Linked DNA regions of Rattus norvegicus. The protein of the gene in region 1 interacts with the protein of each later gene in a pairwise test. Links are inferred from orthologs where the notes say so. Each region holds a gene or a part of one and is shown in the gene's direction. Other genes may lie near its edges. The genes, in order: Lnx1, Mageb18, Rpia, Nadk, Osgin1, Nudt14 and Rad51d.

Region 1 (3,955 bases):
TAGAACAGGTAAAGCTTACAGTTTTGAGATCAGAAGGGGGAAGGTGTTTTTCAGCAGGTGTTTTCTTCCTTAAGGGACAAAAGTGTGGCTGGACCAACCTAGGAGAGAGAACTCCCCAGTGTCCTCAGGTAGCACATTCCGGAGAGTGAATAAGTCTGCGAGGGAGGCTGGCTGCGGGCCACAGGCGCACAGCAATTCAACAGGCTGATGGGACAAGATGCCATAGGCCTTAACCAGCAGGCAGGAATCCTCTTAGCTGTCACTCAAGTGCCAGCTGAGTCCTGCCATTAGCCTCTCTTTCCTGCTGGAAAAGCTGAAGCAAGCGTGACTTATCCAGGGTCACACACCAAGCTTGGGACCAAAATAACTCTGACTCCTCTTCCCTAGCTCTCACAGCAGACAACAGCGCCTTAGTAAGGCGCTATCATTCTAACCTGAATCATTTAAAGTACCCCTAATTGCAGGCCTACTGTGGACTGTAACCACCAGGTGACAGACAGACCGAGAGGTAGGAATGACTGAAGTTTTACCAATGGCCAAATCTATTATTAATATAATACACTGGGGACTGCGAGGGAGTTTGGGAAATGATGCTGACAGGCATCGAACTTAGATTTTTAAGGCTTGTCATGTCACCTCCAGTTTTGTTATAATATTGGAACAGAAAAAAAAAAACACTAGGAACTCAAAGGGATGCGATTCAGAAAGGCATTAGGGGGGTAAATCCCAGATATAGCTAAGTCTTCTCAACCTTTTTCTTTTTTTGCACCTACAAAAATCCCTGTGTTTAAACTTCCCTTTTAATTCTGGTGTTGGCAGCTGTGTGGGCCTGTGAGAGCCCTCGGAAAGAATATCAGGCAGACGAAAAGGGCCTGGGAAACAGTCAGGCATACCCATTCAGATCTGTACACGGGGCTAGACACGTGCTCTGCTCAGGAAGGAAAGTAAATTCCGACCAGCAAATTGCTCTAACTGATTCATTTGTCCTCTGAGAGACGCCACCTACCTGCTCCAAGGTATTCAGGTAATTGACAGGGGGCGGGGCCTCCTGGGCTGTTTTAGTCCCTAAAGTCTCAGCCAGACTTCCGTGATGTCACAGATTTCCTGTTCTGAGCCAACCAATGCCCTCCTTCTTCCTCCAGCCACCTGTACACCGAAGTTGAGACCAGTCACAGCTCAGGCAGCCCTAGAAGCTTCTGGCACAGGGATGGAGGCGGGCTGGTGACTGCTGCTTTGAAAGCCCCAGACATCTTTGAACAGGTGAGCAGGAACTATTTTTTCCTCTCTTGGTTTTTAGACCCCTGACCCAGAAGGGATCTAAATGAGGAATCTGAATGAAAATTACAAAAGAAAAAAGAAAAAGAAAGAGAGAGAGAGAGAGAGAGAGAGAGAGAGAGCGAGCTCACTGAATGGCTCAGTCCAGAGTAACACTCTGAGAGTAAAGATGTCTGTAACAGTCTTATTTGTGACCAGCAGTGTTGTCTCGGCCAGATATTTAATCATTTTTGTTTCCTGATTACTAATCCAGCCTCTGCTTGTTGTGAAGTTGATTTGATTCTTTTTAAAACCCCAGAGAAAAGTGAGATGAGATGCTCTTTGAAAGTTAGTTCAAATGTGCAGACCAGTCCAGCCTGTTTTGTGTGTGTGTGTGTGTGTGTGTGGTGGGGGTGGGGGTGCTGGGGACACTCACAAAATTCAGATTGTCTTTTTTTTTTCTTGCCTTCTGCATTCATCTCATCTGAAAAGCTGTAATACTTCCCTAGGTTTTGTTGTTGTTTACAACAGAAAGTCAGTACTAAAGCTGATAAATTCTGGCTCCCTGTTTATAAGTTCTCTCTCTCTCTCTCTCTCTCTCTCTCTCTCTCTCTCTCTCTCTCTCAAAAGCCTTCAGTTTCCTTTACTTGTGGAAAACATTTAGCAGTCTGGATTAGAACTCTGTTTACCTACTTTCAGGCCCGACAGGCTGCCTGCTGACCTTTGGTTAAAGTAAAGATTACCCTTCAAGGCCACAAGAATGTAGCCCCAGGTCTGGGTTTGAAACTCTTCTGTTGTTTCTACCTTGCTCTTAATATAGTAAATATATGGAGGAGACTGTTCTGCCAGGACCTGACTATAAAAGTAATTGTACCTCAAGGACCCATATTCGTTTTTCTAATCCTGATCGTGTAACCTGTTCTCAATGGGCAGGCACCCCCACCAGCTAATATGATTAACAAGAGCAGAGGAATAAATCCCCAGTCCATCTCCTTATCAACTTATCTGGGAAACTCGGGGAGAGAAATAAATGAACGAGTCTTTTCATTTCATAGGCCTTCGTTAGTTGCATTAGTTAAGTTAGCAGATGGCTTTGTAAGGAAATCATCTACTAGGAGTTAAGCCCATATACAGCCCTCTAGAAGTTAAAAGAACCTGCCAACTGTCCAAGAGTGTATGAACGGAAACAACTAAAAAGTATCGCCCTTGAACGGCTGCTTCTTTCTTCCTGGTAAGCATCTGCCTCCTGCTTGTTGCCAGTTTCTTTCTGATTCTTGGGAAGCTCATAGTCTCTTCTCTAGTTGACCTTTGTGCCTTATATTGTCCTCTAAGCTCCTGTGTTTGCAGAGTAACTGTTGTTGATGCCTTAGTAACATTCTCGGTTGATTCAGAGGTTTGTGAGCAAAGTGAGAAAAAGATTCCTCATAGCCTGGAGTTTTGTAGGTGTAAATTTGTCCTTGATGTTCCAAACCTCTGCAAACTTTCACACACACCCCTCTTTTATACCTGGTTAATTAGTCATTTTTACAACAATGGACCTATGATTAAATAACAAACTATTTTGTCATTGTCTCTAACTGCTTAGAAAAATATTATATATAATATATATTATATATGTATATATATAAAATCCCCCCCCCAATTCAAGAAAGAGAAAAAAGGGGACAGAAACCAGAGTCCCAGTGTCTAGCATAGGGGTCGAGGCAGCTCGTTGGATAACGTGCATGTGTCCTTGAGAAGTTGCTGTGACATCTCCACTAATTTGGGTGTATACAAAGTGCTAAAGGAAACAATATGTATTTCCTTAGCAAATTACTGGACTTCTCTGAACCGCCATTCCTTTCTCAGTAGGACGAGAGATAAGTACCATGTGCTATAATGTGGTTCTCTGAGTATAGGTGAGCTTGGAGTCAGGGACAAATAAAAGACAAGTTCCTCTCTGCTGGAAGAAATTTCCTGGGAGCTTAGAGGACTTGTGTGAGCCCATGTAGCTCTCCTGTGGCTGCAATGGTTCAGGACCCGGCTCTTATTACTGTAATTAATTGTCAGTAATTAACCCCACTGCTAACAGTTTGGAGAAACACAACAGTCCAGAGGGAGGAGAATGAACGGGCTGTCATTCCCTGAGCCAGGCAGCGTGTGCCTGCCAGCCCCCTTGGCCCTTGGTGAAGCAAACTCTGGAGTGGTCTCTCTTCCTTCTTGTGATCTCTTGACACATCCACAAAGTGTGAGTTCTTAAAGGCTGTCAGGAGAGGTCATCGTTGTTTGGAGGGCAGGGAGCCCAGACTGTTTTAATCATGCTACTACCCTGAGTGGCCTTGGGTACTTGGTCCCCTCTAATCTTGTAGGTAAACATCTTCCACCTCAGACTCCATGAGCACTTGGCCAAGCCAGTGTGAGAGGTGACAGATAATTTGCAACCTGTACCATTCTGTGGAGGGGGAAGGCTCGTGGGTCCTTTGGATAAGATCCACACATTTAAGTAGAGATTTTTTTAAAGATTGATCTATTTATTATATATTAGCCCACAGCAGAAAAGGGCTTCAGATCTCATTACAGATGGTTGTGAGCTACCATATGGTTGCTGGGATTTGAACTCAGGACCTCTGGAAGAGCAGTCAGTGCTCTTAACCACTGAACCATCTCTCCAGCCCCCAAGTAGAATATGTTGAACCTGTCAGTGACCTTGAATCATTGCATC
Region 2 (4,210 bases), on another chromosome or scaffold:
ATATGTGCATCCACATGTATACAATTACGCAAACACCATACACATATACATAAAATGCCTTATATGTGCACATACTTCAATTTATGAAGATCTTATTTGGACTGTCATTTCTGTATCTTGGTAGTTACTTATAGTATTATTTTCTCAGTGTTTGTTGACCAGCATGTAGGAATAAAATTCAGGGACGTACAAAGGAACTATGGTGGAGAAAACACAAATTAGTTATTTAGAAGTATAGTGATTGAGTATATAAATAAAAAGAAACTTTCAAGTATCAAAATGGCATAATAGAACTTAGATATTTTTGTATACAGAAGATTATTGTATATGTGAACAGAGATAATTTCATTTTTGTTAATGATTTGCTGCACTATTTTCTTTGATACCTGCCTCTTGGATGGGGCTAGGATTCCCAATGCTACATTGAATAGCAGTGGCAGAAGCAGAGAACCTTATATTTTTCCTGATCTTAAAAGGAAATCCTTCAGTTTTCCCATGTTAAGTGTGATGCTAGTGATGTGCCTCTTATATGTCGCTTTTATCATGTAGATATATAACTTCTTTCTTTTTTGTTTATTCTATTACTGCAACACGATGTCGTACCTTTTTGACACGATGTCAATTTTTGTTATCATTTAGACGATTGAATAATTTTTATTTTCCATTTGGCTGATGTGATGGGTAGCACTAATTATCATGTGGGTAACGGTAGGTATATTCCAGGCATACCATTATAGCCATGGTATGTAATCTTCTTTACATACTGTCCAGTTCAGTTTGTTAGTACTATGCTGAGGATTTTTGCATGAATATTTATCAGGGATATCTACTGTGGTTGTCTCACTGTCAATGTAATGGAGGTATTCTCTAGTGGTTTTGTCCTGTAGGATTTTCTTCCTTTTAAGTCATATTTAAGCCTCTAGTTCTTTTGGGGTTGATTGTTTTCATATACTGTGTGAGATGATGATCTGTCATTGTTCTGCACAAGGATGCTTAGCTCATCTGCCACCATACTAGATAGAGTCCTTCCTCCATTGTATGTTCCTGGGATCCTTGTCAAAATCTTGTCTGCAGTATGGAGTTTTTTTTTCTGGATTGTCTATTCTCATAGCCGGCATTCTATTCACCATAAGTGACAATGACTAGGTTAGCTGATTAGATGTTTATAGCAAATATTGATCCCAGTCTTTTGCTGCCAGGAAGTTCAAGTACAGATTTACTTGAAATGGTTAAAGCCAATCACTCACAGATGATTAAAAATTTAAAGTGGGTATGTGCTCAAAGATGGTTTTGAAAATGGCAGGTAGTGGGAAATGGCCTTAAAGAAATTAAATGCTTTTAATATTGAATTTAGAATTTATTAAATTTCCCATTTTTAGTAATAGGATTTTTAATTTAATTTTTCTAGGTAATAGAATGCTGACAGTTTTGTTAATGAAATCTTTATGGATAAAAGTAAGAGGGGAATGGAAATATCTGCTAATATAAAGAAGACAATTGAACCCTGGAGAAATAAAATATCCAATGCTTATTCCTCTGAGAATAAAGGTGGGGTTTTTGGTCTGCTTAAAGAATATTTTATGGATTTATAAACAAAATGAAACTGTCTTGATAATTCATTATTGATAAATCCTTGTCCTCTTTGGCACTCTACTTTTCTTGAATATCTTTATTTTATACAACATTGGCACTCAGCTATTAGCCTAGATTTCTGGATGTTTGTCTTCTCTGGCCTTTATCCCTATCAAGTCTTATGACTTGTGTGTTCTAGGATTTTCTTTGTGTGGTCTCTCCAACTGAATAGAAAAGGGAAGGATTTCTAACCTCCATAATTTCTAACGTGATCACTTTTTCTTAATTGCTAGATCATACTTGTCTCCATCACCATCCAATTAATCTTCCCTGTGTCATCAGTCATCTTTCTCTGATGTAACTGTCCTAACGTCTCTTGTTTGCAAACCTTCCTAACGAAGCTTATGAATGGAGCTACGTGGTAGACTGTTATGTAGCAATTGAAACCTTCCCTCCTGAAAGAGGGAGGGAGGCTCATAAGACACAGGAAATAAACAAACTTACAACTTTCAAAAGGCCCCGGAACTTATAAGATTCATAAGGCCCCTTTCCAAGGTTATCTAAACAGTAACACTTGCTGGACAGAGGAGACTCTCTCACCCCCACCGGCTCAGCTGCCTGTGCGCCATGCAAGGAGCTCCAGAGATGCAGCTTTGGTGAGTCGTCGTCACCAATGCTCTAGTGGATTTTTTGATGATCATCTGGCTTTGCGACATCCATGCTGTACGGGTAAGTAACCCCCTCACTCATACTCCTATAAGTAATATCCCGACAACTGATCAACTGCTAAATTACGCTTGGATACAACTGTTTCTTTGCTGTTATTCGCCCTATCTGAGGCGAATAGACTTTTGTTCAGGGAAAGTCCCACAACACAGATTAAAATTCTTTGACCCTTGAGTCATTGAGCAATGGGGTTCTGTGTTCTCTTATGTTGCATATGGGTGAACTTTGTGAGAGTTTTCCTGAAAAAGTCAATACGAGTAATGTGAAGCTGTTTGTTTCTTGGCTTATGAGTTGAGAGACTGGCTGTTTATAATTATTGTTTCTTGGACCACTTTCTCTTTGGATACTCCCTCTTGTCACACAGTTATACAAATTGCAGGCCACTTGGAAAAGTCATGTGTATGTGTTCCAGTTGAAAGCTCCAGATGTGCTCTCAGCGTCAATTCATAGCTATGGGATTTAGCAATCTTGAAACCTCTGGGCCAATAGTTGCAGTTGATGGAGATTTGGTATGAACTATATTCTCAGCCAATATTTGACTGTAACATCCCAGTGCATGAAAGTTCAGAAAAGAACCAGCAGTGAGCCCAGTCCAATAATAATAATAATAATAATAATAATAATAATAATAATAATAATAATAATAAAAAGCAGGACATATAAAAAATGAACTAGAAGCTAGGTGTGGTGGCAGTCACCTTAAATCATAGCACTCGGTAGGCAGAGGCAGAGGCAGAGGCAGAGGCAGTTGGATCTCTGTGAGTTTGAGGCCAGCCTTGGCTACAAAATCCAGGAGTCCAGGATAATCAGGGCTTTGTAACACAGAGAAACCCTGTTTCAAAACACAAACCAATAAAAACAAAACAAAACAAAAACCCAAACAGCAAAAAGGACAAATAACACTAAACTACAATTTAACAGTGTAGTTTTAAGCTGAATTGATTTTCAGTAATAGATAACTGAAAGAATTTGGCTTAACATGTGCTCTTTGTTCTCTGTTGACCTGCTTTTAACTATTATTTTACAATTATCCTAACAGGCACTATTTTTTTTCAATTAACTTGAGTATTTCTTATATACATTTCGAGTGTTATTCCCTTTCCCGGTTTCCGGGCAAACATCCTCTCCCCCCTCCCCTTGTTTATGGATGTTCCCCTCCCCATCCTCCCCCCATTGCCGCCCTCCCCCGAACAATCTAGTTCACTGGGGGTTCAGTCTTAGCAGGACCCAGGGCTTCCCCTTCCACTGGTGCTATTACTAGGATATTCATTGCTACCTATGAGGTCAGAGTTCAGAGTCCAGGGTCAGTCCATGTATAGTCTTTAGGTAGTGGCTTAGTCCCTGGAAGCTCTGGTTGCTTGGCATTGTTGTACATATGGGGTCTCGAGCCCCTTCAAGCTCTTCCAGTTCTTTCTCTGATTCCTTCAACGGGGGTCCTATTCTCAATTCAGTGGTTTGCTGCTGGCATATGCCTCTGTGTTTGCTGTATTCTGGCTGTGTCTCTCGGGAGAGATCTACATGCGGTTCCTGTCAGCCTGCACTTCTTTGCTTCATCCATCTTGTCTAATTGGGTGGTTGTATATGTATGGGCCACATGTAGGGCAGGCTCTGAATGGGTGTTCCTTCAGTCTCTGTTTTAATTTTTGCCTCTCTCTTCCCTGCCAAGGGTATTCTTGTTCCCCTTTTAAAGAAGGAGTGAAGCATTCACATTTTGATCATCTGTCTTGAGTTTCATTTGTTCTAGGCATCTAGGGTAATTCAAGCATTTGGGCTAATAGCCACTTATCAATGAGTGCATACCATGTATGTCTTTCTGTGATTGGGTTAGCTCACTCAGGATGATATTTTCCAGTTCCAACCATTTGCCTACGAATTTCATAAAGTCATTGTTTTTGATAGCTGAGTAATATTC
Region 3 (4,099 bases), on another chromosome or scaffold:
TTCATCACAGCAATAATAACTCTAAGATACTACCCATGTATGGATGTGGGTTCCTCAAGAGTTTCAAAAAGTGTCTGAACAATAGTGGCACACCTGATTTTGGTGGCTACTGAAGTTACATTTGTAATGGTGGCTGAAGAACTTTCTTCTCCTTTTTTGGCAAAGGAATCTATAAAGTGGTTCCTGAATGCTTAAGTTGCAAAAATGCACTGAGACCTGTCTGTTATTGTTCCTAGGAGTTCTTGGAAGAGCCCAGCTCTTGGGGGTTTGCAGTCATGTGCCTTTTGTAGGCATGTGCTGTTAACCCCTGCACTGAGGAACGCAGGCTGATCTGTGTGAGCTCAAGGCCATCCTGGTCTAGAGTTCCAGGACAGCCAGAGTTACAAACAAAACAACAAGAACTTCCAGCCCTTTTCAATGGTGTAATCCAGCTCAGGAAAAACAGTCCAAGTTCCAGGCCAGTGAGGCTGCGGGATGAGACCAAGAATTTCCAAGTGTTCAGGCTTGGTCAGCACTAGTTTCTTCTGCTTGTAAAGGGTGGTGATAAGAATTCCTCACCCCTTACATACAAGCAAACTAAAGGTAGAGAAGGAAGCCCAACACACTGGCTGTGTTCGCTCACCCAGGCTCCATTCAGACACCTTGGCCTCTAATTCTAAGAGCAGAACAATGCCCAAGGCAGGAGCTAATGACTGAACTTGTAATCTTGGGTTTGTAAAGGTCTAACATAGACTTCAGAAGACCTGGGAGTACCAAGTGTGTATATCACAGCACTGTAAGTAGGCTGAGATGGTCACCACCAAGATGATATGATAACGGACTTCTGCAAGTTGTTCTCTGGCCTACACAAGAACACACTCATGCATACAAACACAACTTAAATAGTAAAATGTAATTAAAAGATTTATAAAGAAGCCGTTGGTAGACCCACTTGCCTGAGGACTCGCCTACAACACAGTAACGTCTTCCTTTGTTGGGCAAACAAGGTCAGGTTTTTAATAGGTCTCTCTTTCTCTTCTTTTTTTAGAACATGCATACAGCCAGAAAGGTTCTGTAAACACTTGACCCCTAGGTAGCTTCCTAGACAGCAGTTAGCCGGACCTTCCGGACAGAAATGCTGAAGTCAAGGCGGGCGATTTGCACACTAGGTCGATGGCATTATGGGACTTGTAGTCCCGATTGCAGAAGGGCTTGGGACCACTGTCGCTGCAGGACTACATTTCCCAGCAACACACATATAGCAATACGCGCCGGGCAGGTTGCGCAAGCGAGCGGGTTTCCGGAGGAGTTGGGGGTGGGGCGGCCGCAGAGGCTGGAGCGAGGCGGCGGGATGCAGCGCCCCGGGCCCTTCAGCACCCTCTACGGGCGGGTCCTGGCCCCACTGCCCGGGCGGGCCGGGGGCGCGGCCTCGGGTGGGGGCGGGAACAACTGGGGCCTCTCGGGCTCCCACGTGCAGTTGCCGGGGCGTACACAGTCGGAGACCCGCGGCGACAAGGGAGGCTCGAGCGCGGGCGGCCCGGCCCCCTCCACGATGTCCAAGGCCGAGGAGGCTAAGAAACTGGCGAGCCACACGGCAGTGGAGAACCACGTGAAGGTGGGGCAACTGGTGGCGGCGTGATGGCTTCGTGCTGCCAGCCTAGGGCACTGCCAGGGTGCGCCTGACTCCTGAAAGGGCGAGGGTTGCGAGAGAAGGGAGAGGGTGAGCCTTGTACCCGAATCCACGCTGTTCTTTCCAACCCCTGAAAGGCCTTTTAGACAGAGAATGGGTGGGTGTCAACTCTCCCCCAACTAGAGCCTTTTCTACAAAGATTTCCTGTCCGGCTGGAACTGGATGCACAATAGAGCCGGGCAGTACTCCGTTTAGAGTCTTGGTCAGGCTGTTAATGCGTGCCTCCTAATCAAGCCCATTGAAAATGGTGAGCCCCGAGGCTGCTGTTCTTCACTTCTCGCTTACCGGGAAGCCAGTGGAGAGCTGTTTTGCGAAGTGTTTTGAAATTTTACTCCAAACATGCTTTTCAGCTCCTCCTGCTGAGGAGCTTGTGTAGTCTTTACAAAGAAGCCATCAGGTTACTGTTGACAGGGCCAGATGGACACATCTGGAGGTGCTGCTCTTTAGGCGGGGTCCAGATGTTTTGCAGTTACTTAGTATGGTTGAGTCCCCATTTGTTTGTTAAGTGGCGGGTGTGGTACCTTGAGTGGACTCTTAGTGTAGGTGGGTTTGCTGTCTGGTAGCAGGTTAATTATCTTAATTGTACTTCTTCTGTTGCCCTGTGGTGAAGTTTCTCCGTCATGTTTCCTATTTCTTAGATCGGGTTACTGGAATCCATATCTCCGTTAAAGGGAATTATTTTCATTTGTTAACTCCTATTTCTTAGATCACGTTACCAGAATCCGTATCTCTGTTAAAGGGAATTCTTTTCATTTGTTAACGCAGTGCTGTACAAAGTTACTTTGCAAAGATGATGTTCTTAGAGCTTTATCTATCTCCCGGCCAAGAGTGAGGGTGGCCTGAGTGGGCGGGACCGGGTCTGATAACCTCCGGCTTGCCTGCTGAACAGAAGAACACCATTTTTGTTTCAGGCAGGGTTCTTCTGCTCTTCTGTTCTTCTGTTCTGTATAGCTCTTTGCTCATCTTAGCATAAGATTTGATACTCCACATTTAGGAGGGTTGTGGGGTATGAGCGTGAATGTAAAATGTGTAATACTGCTCTGTGTTTGGAATTCAGTGCCACAGCTGTAAAACTGGAACTACTTAGTAAAGAGGAATTTCAAAATGCCTTCACGAAGTGACTTAATAGATTGGTAAATGAAATCCATACCTTAGGAAAGCTCGTTATCTTAGGTAAACCGTTAATGTTTAGTGGTGCAAGTCTCCTTGACCTTTGCTTTATTGTTATGTACTCGATTAAAGTGAAATCTGCAAGCCTTTACCGGATGTTCTGGCCATATTCAAAGGACTACTTTCAGTTTTTTCTTGGCTTCCTAAGGAGACTAGGAGAGGACAATTCCTCTTCCTCTTTTGAAACTCAGGCTGGCTTTGAAACCCTCCCCTCCCTCTTTGTAGCAGGCTAGCATATATCAAGGCAGGAACTTGATATGTGGACTCTGCTGGTTTTGAAATCTACCAAGGTGTGTATCATCATTCAGCTTTATCCTCTTGACTCTGCCTCCCAGGGACTGGCATTATAGGTGTGTGATACACTCAGCTTCCTCTGATTACGGCTCCCAGACACTTCAGCGTGACCTATGTTCTAGTCCTCTCTGTGTTTCTCTCGCCCAACTCGCTGTGAGCTCTGGGAGGAGAGTTAACGTTATCTATACATTCAGCATTGTGTACAGTGAGAGCTGCTTAGGCAGCGTTCAGTGAGATGTGTAGAATGGGAACACTGATATGAATGGAGGTTGGAGGTTGTGGGTTTTGGTGGCCCCTTTCCTAGGCTCTCTTGAGTGTGGGGTTTCCAGTTCCCTAGCCTGCTGGTATTCATTCCATTGTGACTATTTCTGTTTCAGTGAAGATGAACTCTGAATTCTCAGTTGAATCTTTGTCACCAGGTCCAGACCTGCCTGATACTAAGTGTAGTTACCTCAGATGGGTTACTGTACACGGCTATGCTATCCTCATGGTTGTTGCTTCATCTTTGCTCTCTGTGGTGCCTGGGCTTCGATTTGAGATTGGCTTAGCCTGAGGAAACTAGTGGGCAGATAATATTAATATTATTATTAGTATTTTGGTTTTTTTGAGACAGAGTCTTACTAGGTATTCCTGACTGCCCTGGAATTCACTATGTAGAACAGGCTGGCCTCAAACTTAAAGAGATCTGCCTGCCTCTGCCTTTCTAGTGCTGGGATTAAAGGAGTGTATCATCATGCCTGGCAATTTTTGTGTTTTTAATTTGGTAGAAGCCTGTTTTACTAACATACTATTCCAAACTCACCAAATACACCAAGAGGCTTAGCCCACCGAAGCCAGTCTCATAGATTCGTGAGATTACCCTGATGTCTTGATGGCATGCTGTATAGCATTGCCTTTAGAAGGGCTACCAGCTGTTGGGCCAGTTTGCAGGCCGCATCTCACCTTTTGGCTTTCGCTAGGGCACTC
Region 4 (3,500 bases), on another chromosome or scaffold:
TGACACAACAGGAAGGTGAGCTGGTTTGTGGCCACAGGGAGGGCTTGACCTGCATATAAAATGCTGGTGACACATGCTGAGCCCTACTGAGCTTTGGGGCTGAAAGAGTCATGGGCTGGGCCTGAGCCATAACCCACACATGGGCAGGATAGGCTGCTGGGTACAGGGTGTGGGCTTGGAGCTCTGGTGGGGCAGAGGTCTGTGATCCACCCACATTCTCTGGAACCCAGAGCCTGGCAAGTTCAGGGAGTGATCTCCTTTCACCTGCAGCCCTTTCACCTGCAGGTGGCCTGAGGCCGCCTCTTGTGGGCGGGCCTGCCTTTTCCATGCACCCAGTTCTCTTTCCTGGGCCTGGACACTGCCCTGCCAGGGGCCTGCTAGGCTAGGGGCCTGGCCCTGCCTTAAGAACAGGGAGTTGAGACTGGCCCTCTTTCCTCTTAAGAGTTAACCTTGTGTTTTTCATTTTTAAACCAGATGATGAGGCAAAAGGGCCATGTAGTCAGAAGGGAGTCTCTGTTTTTGTTTATTTGATTTTCATAGTTTAGAGAACACTGCTATAGGACCTTGACAAGTCTTTTACATCTTGCTTTCAGTTTTGAGGATACAAAAACTAAACTCAGTGTAATACATAGCTAGGAGCATGGTGGCCAGGCAGGGCTGTGTGTGTCTGCTAGAGAGGGAACACCGCAATGCTGGGGATATGCCTGCTATCTCCTAGAAGGTGGAGAGCGAGCGCCTCAGGAGTCGTGAGCACTACAGGCAGGTGGTGAGGTTCAGAGAGGCAGCTATGAGCGGCCTCTCCCCTCCCAGAAATGCCAGGAACAGGTGAGTGCTTTGATCACTCGTGACCTCTACTTTTAATAGTGTCATAATTTTGAAGGTTGGTTATGGGTTCTCACAGACTGTTAGAACACATTGTATAATTGGGGAGATTGTGTTGGACAGGAAAAAAGGTTCTTCAGAAATGAAGATTTACTGGGCTAGGCATGGTACCAGGTCACATCTTTCATCCCAGCACTCAGGAGGCAAAGGCAGGCAAATCTCTATGAATTTGAGACTAGCCTGGTCTATATAATGAATTCTAAGCCAGTCAAGGCCACATAATGAGAACCTCTCGAAAAAAATTAATAATTATTATTAATCTTAATACTTATGTTGATTTTTAATTAATAAGTAAGGCTCAGCTAAGTTTATACAGTGGCAGAGAGAAGCCATACACCCTCCAGGTACATCAAAGGAAACACATGTTTTGAAGGGTTCTGGGACTGGAAATAGTCCACAGTAGACCCCAGGACAGAGTCCTCAAACCAACTGTTGTAGGTTCTGTGAAGAACAGATGCCCTCTGTGGGCTGACGGAGCCTGGGCTTCCCTCTGTTGCCATCTTTGTTCCCACCATAACACACATGATCTGACCTGTTGAAGGTTGCCAAGCAGGGTGCCCAAGGGGATGTGGCCAAAGCCATGTGGACAGTGGCTGGGCAGGGTGGGTCTTCAGGGTCTACTAGTAGCTAAGGACAGATGCTCTGGAACCCTGGTGTTCCCAGTAAGTGGCTGCAGACTGGCTGGCAGCCATCCCTGGTGGGAACCATTGCTGATTCTATGCATACAGTTGGCAATGCATTTTTACTTGTTTCTGGTTTTTGGCTCTTTTTATTTTTCCATATTCCTCAAGGAAAAGACAACTGCTGGTATGAGCTCTCTTCTCTCCCCAAAGGCACATCCAGGACCCTGCAAGCCAACGGTTGACATGGAACAAGTCTCCAAAGAGTGTGCTTGTTATCAAAAAGATCCGAGATGCCAGCTTACTGCAGCCCTTCAAGGAGCTCTGCATATACCTCATGGAGGTAAGGCAAGCAGGATAGGGTCTACTAGGCTCTAGGGTTGATGCATCCTGTTCTGGCACTGGGAAGAGACATGGCCAGGGTGGCAGAACCCAGGACTTGACAGGCCTTTTACTTAGCTGTCGGAAGCATTCTAAAAAGTACTTGCCAGCCTGTAGTGCTAGCCTGTAGTGCTAGCCTGTAGTGCCAGCCTGGAGTGCCAGCCTGGAGTGCTAGCCTGGAGTGCTAGGGGCTGGGAAACCCTGGTGGAGGAGCTGCATCTGGCAAGAGCCCTATACTGTGTCACGTGTTCACAAAGAACTTGCCCTCCTGACCTCAGACCCTCCAACACACTACTTTCTGAGTCCTGTTGCAGCACTAAACCCTCACCGTGATCCTTTTGATGTTGCCAATAACACATCTCCCCTGTCTGGGTAAGTTTTAAGAAAGAGAGGGTTATTTTAGCCTGTGATTCTGAAGATGCAAGGTCCAGGTGCCAAAACTGATGACAGCCATCTTCCCTGCAGAGCCCCCAGGCACAGGACAGCCTTTGTTCTTAAATATGTGTGCAGATACCTTCAGGCCTTTCCTTCTCCCCATAAAACCACAAGAGTGCAGTGGTGTGGCTCTACCCTGATGGCTTAACTCCTAATCACCCCCCAGAGGTGCCACCTCTGGACATTGAAGACTAAAGTGGCACCTCAAAATCATGTTGCACTTCAGTAGATGACTTTGGGAACTCCCTCAAAACCAAGAGCCACTGGGGTTAGAAAGCACCTGTTTTGGAAGAGGTCTCTATGACACCCTGAGCCGCAGAGTTCCTGACTGTACTGTGAGGGGCTGAGCAGCATGGGAATGACTTGCTAGCCAAGAAAACATCTTTCCACCTGGTCCCAAAGTGGGAAAGCCAGCATGACCTGGACTGCACTGGTGAGGGCCTCATGGGCAATGCAGGGGTTCCCATGCATTCTTTGCTTCCAGGAAAACAACATGATCGTGTATGTGGAAAAGAAAGTTCTGGAAGACCCTGCTATAGTGGGTGATGAAAACTTTGGACCAGTGAAGAAGAAGTTCTGCACTTTCCGTGAAGGTGTGCTGACTTGAGCCCTCTCAGCTGGCAGAAGCCATTAGGATTCTGCCCTGTTGGTATCTGCACACTTGGGCACTAAGGGTTTGTGCGACAACAGTTCTGTGTTTGTCTTGTAGATTATGATGACATTTCCAACCAGATAGACTTCATCATATGCCTTGGAGGAGATGGTACCTTGCTCTATGCCTCCTCACTTTTCCAGGTAAGGCTATGCTTGGGGGTGTTAAGGTAGTTTTGAGTCCAGTGTGAGGAGCTGCTTTCAGTGTAAGTACCCTGCTTCCTCCTCATGCAGCTTCACACCAGAAACCACAAACAAGGTCCTTAGTGTTCTTACTCAAAGGCAGCATCTTCACAGAGATCACCCGGGACCATCGGAAACACACACACCTCATACTTTATACTTTACCTTCGATTCGTAACAACAGCAAAATTACAGTTATGAAGTAGCAACGAAAATAATGTTAAGGTTGGGGGTCAGCACAGCATGAGGAGCTGTAGAAAAGGGTCACAGCGTTAGGAAGGCTGAGAGCCACGGACTCTAAGGACATGGGAATTCTTTTTAGTCCAATTTTTAGCAATAGGGCAGGTT
Region 5 (2,882 bases), on another chromosome or scaffold:
TTTTGTTGGCCTGTGAGGTATTTGCATAAAGGTTCATCACTGGCTACCCACTTTTCCAAACTAGAGAGTTCACATACAACCCCCAGAATTCTGCCTCCTCCGTAAGAGTTCTGCAGATGTGACCTCAGACCAGTGTGCTGTACCACTAGGTGAGCCTGAGAACGCAGCTCCGGTGCTTAGAGCAATTAGGCATTGTGGCCATTAGGGGGCGCAGGAACTCCAAAACCCAGGTTTGCTGGCATTTTTCCCAAATCCAGCTGTCAGAGTCTCCCCAAGTCCAAGGTCCAGCCCTGCCCTGAGCCGGAGGTCAGGCAGGGCCATCCTGGCAGTAAATCCACCCTAGCAGGTGTTCCAGAACCTTCTCCTACTTGTATGGCTTACTGAGGCTCGGGTCTGGGAACCAGCCAGTGTCACCAGTGAGGAAGTGGGGAAGTGGCCCTGCAGCTACCAAAGAAGTCTTGCCTTGCCCATCCCTCCTGTACCAGGCAGGGAGTCCTCTCCTAAGATGAAGAGGGGGTGTTGGGGGGATTGGGGGGATGGCATGAGGCTCAGTAGAGTCGGTGGCTCCTGGTTCGCAGACAGCTGGAGCTCCACCGAGTAGCTGAGCTGAGAATCTGTGTGAGTGACATCACCCAGCCTGACTAAAGGGGCTTCCTCTTTGCTCTGTTCTCCAGGTCAGCTGCCAACCCCAGGCTGAACACCAACCCCAGCTATGAGCTCCTGGAGGCATGACTCCCTCAGGGCCAGCAGCTCCGATCCCCTCCCAGTAGTTATCATTGGTAAGTGTCTCCCCCAACCCCCGGCAAGGGTGGGGGATACACTGGTGCTCTGGGGACCCCTGGGTCTGAGGCTAGCGAGGTCAAGGCTGGCCTCTAGACGGTTGCCATAGTGCTGTGGGCCCAGCACTATGCACATAAGGTTTGCACCATTACCCAGTGTCCACCCGTGCCAGGTGCCCATTCAGGGAACACAAAGATAGGGCCCGTGGTTCCTGTCATCAGCCCTGCCAAATTGAAGAAGAGGGTGCAAGCATCAGGTAGACCCACACGAGCGGGCATTTTAAAAGTGAAAGCTGGGGAGAGCTGGACAGACGGGCACAGAACGCTCCAATCCTGGCTAGGAGGAGCTTTGGTCAACTCAGACACCCAGGACTTGAAGCAGTCCATCCTGCTGATGGACTCTCACCTCCAAGTCCTTGTCACAGCCCTCCTGGCTTAGGCAAGCACTCTGCCCCTGAGCTACACACCCACCCACCTTTTGCTTTTCCTCTTGGGCTCACTATGCTGTACAAGTTGGCCTTGAGCTTCAGCTCCTCCTGCCTCAGCCTCCCAAGTTTCAGGCTTGCATGGCTACAGGCCCTGTCTCCCTGAGTGTGACAGCCAAGTAGACATGGGACACCTGCTTATCCTCTCCGGCCCATTCCCCTAAGCACAAAGAGAAAATGCCAGTACCCGTTCCTTGACTGATGTCACTGAGGTGGTTATACTTAGAAACCCTTCACGCAGGAAACCTTTGACCATTGTTCATTTGTCTGCTTCTTGGTCGTTACTACACATGGCCTCTGTCACAGAGTCAGGGCTTGGTGAATGTTTCATGCTGAGTAGACCTGACCTTCCTGTCTCTGCAGGCAATGGTCCCTCGGGTATCTGTCTATCCTACCTGCTCTCTGGCTACATCCCCTATGTGAAACCAGGAGCTGTCCACCCGCACCCCCTGCTGCAGAGGAAGCTGACCGAGGCTCCAGGGGTCTCCATCTTGGATCAGGTGGGTCTGACACTTGAGTCTAGGAGGGCCATTCTCCTAGCAGAAAGCCAGGGGTCCCTGGAAGACCACCCTTAAAACAGAGGAGTCCACAAAACAAACTGTAAAACAGGGAAAGAACAACTGGGATTGTCTTCCAAGACCCGCCAATGCCATGTCAGCTGTCTGACCACACATTAGACCCATGGTTCTCAATGACTGACTTCCTCCAAGAACATTCACTGGGGCCCTTGGGCTCCCAGAAGAACCATAGTGACAGTCCCCAAAACTACTCAGCATAGAGATCTCTGTGTGACCAGTTTCCCTCAGACTCAAGGTGGGACTATGCTATCCCCTGGGGATCCCACTGACCTGTGCCCTTCTTCAGGACCTAGAATACCTTTCCGAAGGCCTCGAAGGCCGAAGCCAGAGTCCTGTGGCCCTGCTCTTTGATGCCCTCCTACGTCCTGACACAGACTTTGGAGGCAGCCTAGACTCTGTGCTCTCCTGGAAGCGGCAGAAGGACCGTGCCATTCCCCACCTTGTCCTGGGACGGAACCTCCCCGGGGGTGCCTGGCATGTGAGTGTCGGCTTGGAGTAGCCTTGTTCTCCCTCCCTCACACTTGGGGAGGGGCGGGGTGCTGCTGTCCTGGCCGGGCCTGACAACAACTTTCTCTGCAGTCCATTGAAGGCTCCATGGTGACTTTGAGCCAAGGCCAGTGGATGAGTCTCCCAGACCTGCAGGTCAAGGACTGGATGCGGAAGAAATGCAGGTAAGGGGACCCTGGGAGGCTGGACGGGCAGAGGAGAATCCCCTATAAACAGGCAGATAAAACTGGCCTCTCTGGGTTCTGGCTCTGACGGACTCTGTCCCTGCAGATGAGGAGGGGGTTTCAGGATTGTGTCGTGACAGGAAAATGCACTTCCCTCATAGCACTTTTGAGAAGTGTTTTCTGGTGAAATTACATAATCTGCCCTTTACAGGGCTTCGTAATATTCCTAAAGGGGCCGTGTCCCTGGCTCAGCAAATACCCCACCCCAGTGATCCACTGCCAGCCACTTGCCCCACCCCCCAAGTGTGACATTATATTAAATGTAGCTTCTGAAGACAGGTTTCTGTTACAGCTTTTATAAAAGGTTAA
Region 6 (4,121 bases), on another chromosome or scaffold:
AGTGTGTGTGTGTGAGTGTGTGTGTGGTGTGTGTGTGAATGTGTGTGTGAATGTGTGTGTGAATGTGTGTGTGGTGTGTGAGTGTGAATGTGGAGTGTGCGTGTGTGAATGTGTGTGTGTGTGAATGTGGGGTGTGTGAGAGTGTGTGTGTGTGAGTGTGGTGTGTGAATGTGTGTGTGGTGTGTGAGTGTGTGTATGTGTGTGTGAATGTGGAGTGTGGGTGTGTGAATGTGTGTGTGTGAATGTGGGGTGTGTGTGTGTGGTGTGTGTGAGTGTGTGTGTGTGAGTGTGTTTGAGTGTGGTGTGTGTGTGAATGTGTGTGTGGTGTGTGAGTGTGAATGTGGAGTGTGCGTGTGTGAATGTGTGTGTGTGTGAATGTGGGGTGTGTGAGAGTGTGTGTGTGTGAGTGTGGTGTGTGTGTGAATGTGTGTGTGGTGTGTGAGTGTGTGTATGTGTGTGTGAATGTGGAGTGTGGGTGTGTGAACATGTGTGTGTGTGTGAATGTGGGGGTGTGTGTGGTGTGTGAGTGTGTGTGTGGTGTGTGAGTGTGTGTGTTGTGTGAGTATGTGTGTAGTGTGTGTGTGTGTGAGAGAGAGAGAATGTCTGTGGTGTGTGTGTGTGTGGTGTGTGTGGGGGTGTGGTGTGTGTGTGTGGTGTGTATGGAGGGGGACGTGTGGGGGGTTGTGTGGTGTGTGTCTGTGTGTGGTGTAGTCTTTAAGAATGGCTCTGTGAACCATGTGTCTGTCCCATATAGGGAAGTCATCTCCCGTGGAATTTGGAGTGGCCTGGAACTTTAGATGCATCTGGATTGACACTGTGATGGAGCAGGTATGGGGCCCTGACTAGCTGCTGTAAATGTGTGTAGTGCGCTAAGGAGCAACATGGCCTCTGTGAAGAACAGTCAGAGACAGGAAGTCGCACTTTCTCTCAGACAGGGTCAGGTCAGCTCTATATGGGCTGGGGCTTTCCTGGAGTCTCCCTTCACCAGCCTTTTCTCTTAAGATTTGTTCTGAGAGAAGTCTTCTTCCTATTCGCCCCTTCTGTATGCTCCAGTGGTCACCCTGACTCCCCAGACTTGGGAAGGGAGTGGGGTTGTTACTAACCCGGGCCAAGCAGACACCTGCTCAGTTCACCTACCACGGTGATCCCCTCTGATTCCTACCCGTTGGAGGCTTCATGTACCTCGAAGCCCTCCTCCACCCTACCCAGTTCGTGTCCACTTTATGTAGGGCACTTATCTGAAAGCACCTCCCTCGCGTGCAGCACTCTGCAGGTGCTACCTGGACTCTGTGGCCCGCCTTCCGGCCCGCCCCGCGCGTGAACTGGGCATGCCCAGAAGTGCGTAGACACGCCCGCCTGCTTGGATCCGCGGAAGACACTGCTCCGCGCCACCATGGAGCGCATCGAGGGGGTGGCCGTGGGTCTCTGTGCCCATTCGCCCTACCTGCGGCCTCTCACGCTGCACTACCGCCAGGTGATCCGCCCCGCTCGCATGTCTCCGCGTGCTCACCCCCAAACCCCTGCGTTGCAGGCCCGGCCCCGCCCCCGAGCTCAAGCCTCCGCCCTGAGCGGATTCTCAGAGCTTGAGCTCCGCCCTCCTGCAGTCCTGACCGCGGGTCAGTCCACCCGGAATGGCCTGGGAAGGGCATGCGAGGAGAATCTCTCTTTCCTCCAAGATTTGACTGGCCCTCCATTTCTGACCGCCTGTCGATACTTTCATGCAGTTAGACCCCTTGATCTTTGGGTATCGGGGCAGGAAGAACTCTTGGGAAACCCCACATTTGCAGAAACCCTCCTTTGCGCCTTCTTTCAAGCTCCTCCTTCAAGCCTTAACAGAAAGTATGCTGTCTGGAAGAAGCCTCCTCAGCCTTTCGTAGTTCCCAGGTGTCTCCCAGAACAACAGGGCCATACATAACTATCTCACATGGCACCGTGGGGGTACATAGTAGGTACACAGAAAACATTTGTTGAACCTACTTGCTGCCTCTTCTCTTTCCCCTTACCGTGTGGTCTTCTCTCTCCCCTACCCTGCGTAGCCCTGCCTAGCAGGCCTCTGGCACATTACCTATTTCCACTCTCTATGTGGTCTGATACACACTGTTTTCCTGACCTCATCAACGTAACCCTGCCTGGGTTTCAGCTTAGATCAAACCACCCAGGGCTTGGCATTTGTCCAGCTCTCCATCCCTCGACAGTGTTGTGGCCCCCAGCCTGAAAATCCCCTTGGCTCTGGTGTGTTTGCTGTATGGAGGTCTTTCCCCCCTACCCCTAGGTGCAGCAGAGGTAGTATAGGCTTGAGGGAGCAGTTGGATTCATTGAGGAACAAAGGGTAGAGACGAGACACGGAGGTCAGGATCCTTTTCCCTTTCACTGGCTGGTGACATGGGTGGCCACTGGGACTCTTACATACCCAGCACCTGGAGTTCTGATGGGCAGTGGATGGCCCAGGCTAGTTCACTCTCCCCCCACTTCCTGGGAAGTGCTGTGGGGTGGCTTTGCAGACTTGGCTGGCAGTCCGCCAGCACACTTAGACTGATGGCATTGGTAACCAGAGCCCCGTTGAGCAGGCAGTGGCCCCGCCATAGTCATAGCTGAATGGGCCAGGCAGCATTTCCTTGGGAGCTGAGGGACACCGGGCTGGGCTGTGTTTGCCATGGGTAGGGGGATCTGCAGCCTTTAACTGACCAAGAGCAGCAATGGCCTGCCCTATACAACATGGGTCCACTGCCACATTCTAGAACTGTCTTTCCCTTCCAAGGCCAATTTCAGCTTCTGTGGCCCTTCCCACAGTTCTGACAAAGTGTTTGACCCTGAGTCAAGAGGGTCCTTGGAAGTCACCTAGGGTGACACCTGAAGGGAAGCCGTGGGGGCAGGCAAGACAGGCAGGCTCACTGCAGCCTGGGCAGGTAGCTTTCTTTGGAGCCTGCCTGGGTGGCTGGAGATCGGGCAGGCCTGGGCTCGCCTCTTGAGGTGGTGCTTCAGCGGCCTCCTGGGCAGCCTGACCTACCCGGGACATTGGCTCTTGTCTCCCCCTGGAAACCAGACTGATGCTGCCCTCTCAGGATCTCTCTCCCTGCTGGCTCAAGTCTACCTCTCTGATTTGAGATCTCTACCTGTGAGACTCTCTCGTCTACCTTTCTCCACCTGTAGACCAACACGAGGAAGCCCTGTGGCTGTCTTCAATCTCTGTTTGTCTGTCCTCTCAAATTGTTGCCTGGCAACACACTGTCTCTGGGACCCAGGCCTCTGTCTTTTTATGCAGATTGGATGGAGCCCCGGCATCTGTGGTGGGCTAGGCAGGGCTCATGAATGACCCAGAGGTGGACTAAGCAAGTCCGCCCCACCAGCAGAGATCCTTCAGGAAGGAATGCTGGCTCCAGTCCTAGGAGACAAACTGTCTTTCCAAGTGGCATTTTGATGCTGGGGATTGTGGGGATGGTGGGATCTTTCTAACCTTGTATACAAAGCACCGTTGACGCCCTTTCTGGGTGCCCCCCTTATCTATTTCTTTTTTTTTTTCCCGTTTTTTTTTTTTTTTTCTGAAGCTGAGAACCGAACCCAGGGCCTTGCGCTTGCTAGGCAAGTGCTCTACCACTGAGCTAAATCCCCAACCCCCTTATCTATTTCTTGAGTGCTACCCTACATGCAGGGACAGCAGGACTATGGGATGTGTAAGAGATAACGCGAGCCTGAAAGAGGGCGGGGCAAGTATTTACCATCCATCTGACATGCGCAGATCCGCCGCTGCAGCGTAAGCTGTCCGGTGGCGCACGGGAGCTTCGGCAATGAGTGCGTGACTTCTGCTCTGCCCACCTGGAATCCTCCCTGCCCTGCCTAAGGGTATCTCATCTGCTTTTCCTGTGTCCTCCGAGCTCCTCCCCACACTTGGTGGCGGCACAGGCCTCTGTCCTTTGTCCTCATGAAATGCCTTTCCTGCCCTTTGCCAAAGTTTTCTGCCTTACCTTTCCCAGAACATCAGGCTATCCTGACCTCCCGGGCAATCTCCTCCACCTGCTCCAAGTCCCCATTCCTGAAGGGTGCAGGCAGGCAGTAGGCCTCCCTGCTGGGAGCTGCTACAATGGGTCTGTCTGACCCCTGTGCATCTCCATCTGTTGGTGGCA
Region 7 (4,253 bases), on another chromosome or scaffold:
GGTTGGGTTCAGCCAAGAAACAGACTTGATGGCCCCTTCCAGCACAAATGGCCTCCTCTAGGCCACATCTGTGGCCACAGCTACTTGGTCATCTTCTGAAGACTTCAAAAGGCTCAAGGCCTGTGCCCCCTTAGAGCTGTCCAGGAAGGGGTAGCAGACTAGTGAAAAAAGCCAGCACCACTTGGCCTGAGCCAACACAGACTTTGAAAAGGAAGCCTTTGCCTGTTGATGTTTCTAAGGGTCTTTATCCTGGCATCTAAGCAGCAGACCCTACACTGCAGCCAGGAACAGGCACGGTAAAAGCTCAGAGTAGCTGGTTTGGGGAGCTAGGGTTCCAAACACCTTGAAAGATTGAGAAACAATGGTGAACATGGGGGGATATTTCTAAAAATGAGCCATACATCTCTGCTAGAAGAGTACAGGTTTTAGAAAGCACACCCACAACTTCCGAGGATGGAGAAAGTTGAATAACACAGGCTTTGCAGCTGGATGTGGACTGGAGATTCAGTTCTGTGCTTCCTAGCTGTGTAACTCATACAATAACAATCTTACTGAGCCGCAAAATACAAAGTACAGACAGAAATAGAACCTCACTCGTGGGTTCGCAAAACTTTATTTCTTCCACTAGATGTGGTAAAAAAAAATTCAAAATAGTAAACTATATTTAATATATTTTATATACTCAAGCATTCCCCTACTCCCATTAAAACCTTTGGGAAATATGGGGCTAGAGAAATGGTTAAGTGGTTAAGAGCACAGACTGCTCTTCCAGAAGACCAGCACCCATATGGTGGCTTACAACCGTCTGTAATTCCAGTCCAGGGGAATCTGACCCCCTCTTCTGGCTGCCTTGGGCACCAGGGTTGCAAGGAGTGTATAGACATCACTCAGGCACAACATCTACATACATAAGATAAAACAATAAATTTGGAAAATACAGAGGTACAGGTGCTCGCTGGATCTCATCTCGATCATACAATCTGTAATCTGAATTGGTTCCTTTTCATTGACTCCCTAACATGAATGCCACTAGAAGTCAGGGTTGCTTCCCTCAATAAGTATTGAATTAGTAGAGTGAGAGTGTCCCCTAACTTTGCAAATAGAGGCTGTTACACAAGAGACACTCATTGGAAGGGTGTGTATGTGTGTGTGTATCTGTGTCTGTGTCTATGCGTGTGCGTGTGTGTGTGTGTGTGTGTGTGTGTGTGTGTGTGTGTGTGTTAGCATGTGTGTTAGCAGTGAGTGACCAGCGCAGCTCTGCAGCTTGCATGGGGCTGCCGCGTTTGCCCTCGTGGTCAGCAGATGGCGCTGCAGGCCTGGCCCACAAAAGACGCTCCAGACGCGGAACCCGGAAGCCTCGGCCGGGAGGGGGCGGGCCCAGGGCGCCGGAGTCCGAGGAGTTGGAAAGGGTTCCTGTCCCTCACCACGACCTGCATCCTTTTCCCGCCCCCTCGTCCCTCGCTAGCACGGGAGGACCTTTTCCTTAAGTGGAACTGAGGAATGCCTAGAGTGGGGGACTCGGCGGGCGCCCACGTGACAGACAGCCCCCAGGGCGTCCTGGGTTTGCAGGGAATATGGGCATGCTCAGGGCAGGGCTGTGCCCGGGCCTCACCGAGGAGATCGTCCAGCTTCTGAGGGGCCGAAAGATCAAAACAGGTGACCTCATGGGCACAACCCCGGGGGTCTCGATACACGTATGGGGCTTTTTGCTCTAACCGGAGGGTTACTGGGGAAGCTGCTTCGCGGGAGCCGAGGTAGAGGATTTTACTGAGTGCTGGGCCCCTTGCCGGGTCCTGCATTAGGGCCTGCGTGCAGATTGGAAGTAGAATAAGACCTTAATCCCATTTCATAACTGAGGAAAAGGCAAGCAAGGCAAGGCTAAGCCATTCCGGTTGCGAATCAGTTGCACTTGCTGCTCTCTTTCCAGTGGCAGACCTGGCAGCTGCTGACTTGGAGGAGGTAGCCCAGAAGTGTGGTCTGTCCTACAAGGTGAGCTCGCGATTGGCAAACTCCACTCCAACCGGTCTTCCAGAGCTGCTCCCCACTCTGCAGGATCGGAGTTCCTAGGAATTGTTAAAGGGGGGTGTGTGTGACTCTAGACCTGAAGTGCTCTGCGGAGCAGCTGCTCTTAGGGGCAGTCTGATCGATCTGGAACCTGAGTGTCCGCCCTATTGGCAGGCCCTGGTTGCCCTGAGGAGAGTGTTGCTGGCGCAGTTCTCGGCTTTCCCCTTAAATGGTGCAGATCTCTATGAGGAACTGAAGACTTCCACTGCCATCCTGTCCACCGGCATCGGAAGGTTTGTATGCGAACCTGGACAAGGTGAAAGCAGAGCCTCGTGCTGAGGCTACAGAGGACGGGGCCAGTGAGGGCCACCTGGAGCTGTAGAGGAATCTGCAGGCATGCAGACTCCTGAGGTTTTTTTCCTTAAGAGTAAAACTATAGGGCTTCTATTCTTTTTTTTTTTTTTTTTTTTTTAAGATTTTATTTATTTCGTGTATGTGAGTACACTGTTGCTGTCTTCAGACACACCAGAAGAGGGCATCAGATCACTCTATAGATGGTAGTGAGCCACCATGTGGTTGCTGGGAATTGAACTCAGGACCTCTGGAAAAGCAGACAGTGCTCTTAACCTCTGAGCCATCTCTCCAGCCCAACTATAGAGTTTCTTAGCCTCAACACTATTGATACTTGAGGGGCAACTAATTATTTGCTGAGATAGAGCGTCCTGTGCATTGAGAGACATTTAGCAGCATCCCTACTCTCTAGGCACCAGATGGCAAGATGCCCCCAGTTACAACAATCAAAAACTGTCTCCAGATGTGACTCAGTATCTCCTACAAGCTAACTTTCCCCAGGGAAAAGCCACTGTCCTATAACAAAAGATGTCATTAATATCCCATTATTCAGTAGAGCCCGTGATAAAGAGCCCAGAATAAAGCAAGTGAGACCTGGGCAGAATTGAGTTCCTGGGAGTTAGCACTTTTGCGCTGACCCTAGGCCAGTGGTTTTCAACCTTCCTAATGCTGTGACCCTGTAATCCAGTTCCTCATGTTGTGATGACCCCCAACCATAAAATTATTGCCTTGCTACTTCCTAACTGTAATTTTTGCTACTGTTGTAAATCATAGTGTAAATATCTAATAAGCAAGATCTGCCACCCCTGTGAAAGGGTTGAACAATCCTCAAAGGGATTGTGACCCACTGGTTGAGAAACTGCCACCCTAGGTTATGGATGTTAGAAATGATTGACCTCCCTTGTGGTTAGCCTAAGAAAGGGGCCAGGAGAGGTGAGCCCAGGGTTATCTAATCCAGAACCTTGTTGCCTTTGCCATATGAGGCAGCAGTGGGGAATGGGTATGGCTCTCTGAAATGAGCAGTTACATTGTGCCCTGTTGTTCCGGTTGGGAAAGAGTTGGAAGACAACTGGCATTTTCTGGCCAAGCGTGTCTGACCTCTCTCCCTGCCTGTTTGTGCAGAGTTTGATGAATAACACTGCCATCACAAAGGTCTTCGGATTGGTCTGGCCCTTGTTTCCATAACACATTCTCTTGGCAAGGTCCGCACAGTCTGGTGCTTGCTTTCATTGGTTGGGGGTCTGTGTTTGTAATCCATCAAGCGTTGGCTGAGTGCCTACTGGGTGCCAGACACATGCAGATGCTCTTTGTAGGAGTGGGGCTCAGTGTCTTACCTTAATTCCAGCGGACTGTTCTGAGGTCTACTTGGAGGTGAGAGGCCACTGTGAAAGCATTTGTAAGCTATGGGGCATGGCTGTGCAGGACACAGGAGAGGCCAAGCAGGGATCTGGTGCTGCTGGTTTGGGGTGTGTAAGTCTGATCCAGGGTTTGTAACCGTGGAAGATATGTTGAAGGAGAGACGTGAGAAGAGACTTACTGTGAGATCGGGTGTAGATTTGAAGAGTCAAAGGTGGTGGTTTGCTGGGATGGAGAGTTGGTTCAGTGGTTAAGAGCACTGACTGCTTTGCCAGAATTTCCTGAGTTCAATTCCCAGCAAACGCATGATGGTGGCTCACAACCATCTGTAATGAGATCCAATACCCTCTTCTGGTATGTCTGAAGAGAATGACACTGTGTTCACATACATATGTAAATAAATCTTTTTTTTTTTAAAGGTGGTTTGCTAGATTTTAGACTTTGCTCCAGTGTGTTGTGCCTACCTAGTAGATGTAACTCTGAAGCTTTGGAGGCTGTAGGCCAAGTTAGTGAAACTTGCGATTAGCACGCATTAGACCTAT

The links.
Region 2: the proteins of Lnx1 (region 1) and Mageb18 interact in binary tests that used the Homo sapiens proteins (3 or more experiments, as listed by UniProt). The link is inferred for Rattus norvegicus from reciprocal best matches to the Homo sapiens genes LNX1 and MAGEB18.
Region 3: the proteins of Lnx1 (region 1) and Rpia interact in binary tests that used the Homo sapiens proteins (3 or more experiments, as listed by UniProt). The link is inferred for Rattus norvegicus from reciprocal best matches to the Homo sapiens genes LNX1 and RPIA.
Region 4: the proteins of Lnx1 (region 1) and Nadk interact in binary tests that used the Homo sapiens proteins (3 or more experiments, as listed by UniProt). The link is inferred for Rattus norvegicus from reciprocal best matches to the Homo sapiens genes LNX1 and NADK.
Region 5: the proteins of Lnx1 (region 1) and Osgin1 interact in binary tests that used the Homo sapiens proteins (3 or more experiments, as listed by UniProt). The two-hybrid records come from large-scale screens. The link is inferred for Rattus norvegicus from reciprocal best matches to the Homo sapiens genes LNX1 and OSGIN1.
Region 6: the proteins of Lnx1 (region 1) and Nudt14 interact in binary tests that used the Homo sapiens proteins (3 or more experiments, as listed by UniProt). The two-hybrid records come from large-scale screens. The link is inferred for Rattus norvegicus from reciprocal best matches to the Homo sapiens genes LNX1 and NUDT14.
Region 7: the proteins of Lnx1 (region 1) and Rad51d interact in binary tests that used the Homo sapiens proteins (3 or more experiments, as listed by UniProt). The two-hybrid records come from large-scale screens. The link is inferred for Rattus norvegicus from reciprocal best matches to the Homo sapiens genes LNX1 and RAD51D.

The regions. Positions count from the first base shown.
Region 1 is NC_086032.1:33,867,416-33,871,370, forward strand, and holds the start of Lnx1 (E3 ubiquitin-protein ligase LNX), read left to right. Parts: upstream 1-1,155; 5' UTR 1,156-1,260; intron 1,261-3,955.
Region 2 is NC_086039.1:61,453,355-61,457,564, reverse strand, and holds the start of Mageb18 (melanoma-associated antigen B18), read left to right. Parts: upstream 1-1,410; 5' UTR 1,411-2,301; intron 2,302-4,210. UniProt on the Homo sapiens protein: May enhance ubiquitin ligase activity of RING-type zinc finger-containing E3 ubiquitin-protein ligases. Proposed to act through recruitment and/or stabilization of the Ubl-conjugating enzyme (E2) at the E3:substrate complex.
Region 3 is NC_086022.1:104,304,919-104,309,017, reverse strand, and holds the start of Rpia (ribose-5-phosphate isomerase), read left to right. Parts: upstream 1-1,299; 5' UTR 1,300-1,330; coding exon 1,331-1,594; intron 1,595-4,099. UniProt on the Homo sapiens protein: Catalyzes the reversible conversion of ribose-5-phosphate to ribulose 5-phosphate and participates in the first step of the non-oxidative branch of the pentose phosphate pathway.
Region 4 is NC_086023.1:171,449,877-171,453,376, forward strand, and holds part of Nadk (NAD kinase), read left to right. Parts: intron 1-1,715; coding exon 1,716-1,845; intron 1,846-2,802; coding exon 2,803-2,911; intron 2,912-3,027; coding exon 3,028-3,113; intron 3,114-3,500.
Region 5 is NC_086037.1:64,403,901-64,406,782, forward strand, and holds part of Osgin1 (oxidative stress-induced growth inhibitor 1), read left to right. Parts: intron 1-674; 5' UTR 675-712; coding exon 713-779; intron 780-1,627; coding exon 1,628-1,764; intron 1,765-2,128; coding exon 2,129-2,320; intron 2,321-2,421; coding exon 2,422-2,513; intron 2,514-2,882. UniProt on the Homo sapiens protein: Monooxygenase catalytic activity. Involved in regulation of cytokinesis; promotes RHOA activity, probably acting locally at the midbody in late cytokinesis.
Region 6 is NC_086024.1:137,835,571-137,839,691, reverse strand, and holds the start of Nudt14 (uridine diphosphate glucose pyrophosphatase NUDT14), read left to right. Parts: upstream 1-1,321; 5' UTR 1,322-1,393; coding exon 1,394-1,474; intron 1,475-4,121. UniProt on the Homo sapiens protein: Hydrolyzes UDP-glucose to glucose 1-phosphate and UMP and ADP-ribose to ribose 5-phosphate and AMP. The physiological substrate is probably UDP-glucose. Poor activity on other substrates such as ADP-glucose, CDP-glucose, GDP-glucose and GDP-mannose.
Region 7 is NC_086028.1:68,319,103-68,323,355, reverse strand, and holds the start of Rad51d (DNA repair protein RAD51 homolog 4), read left to right. Parts: upstream 1-1,453; 5' UTR 1,454-1,574; coding exon 1,575-1,656; intron 1,657-1,927; coding exon 1,928-1,989; intron 1,990-2,178; coding exon 2,179-2,297; intron 2,298-4,253. UniProt on the Homo sapiens protein: Involved in the homologous recombination repair (HRR) pathway of double-stranded DNA breaks arising during DNA replication or induced by DNA-damaging agents. Bind to single-stranded DNA (ssDNA) and has DNA-dependent ATPase activity.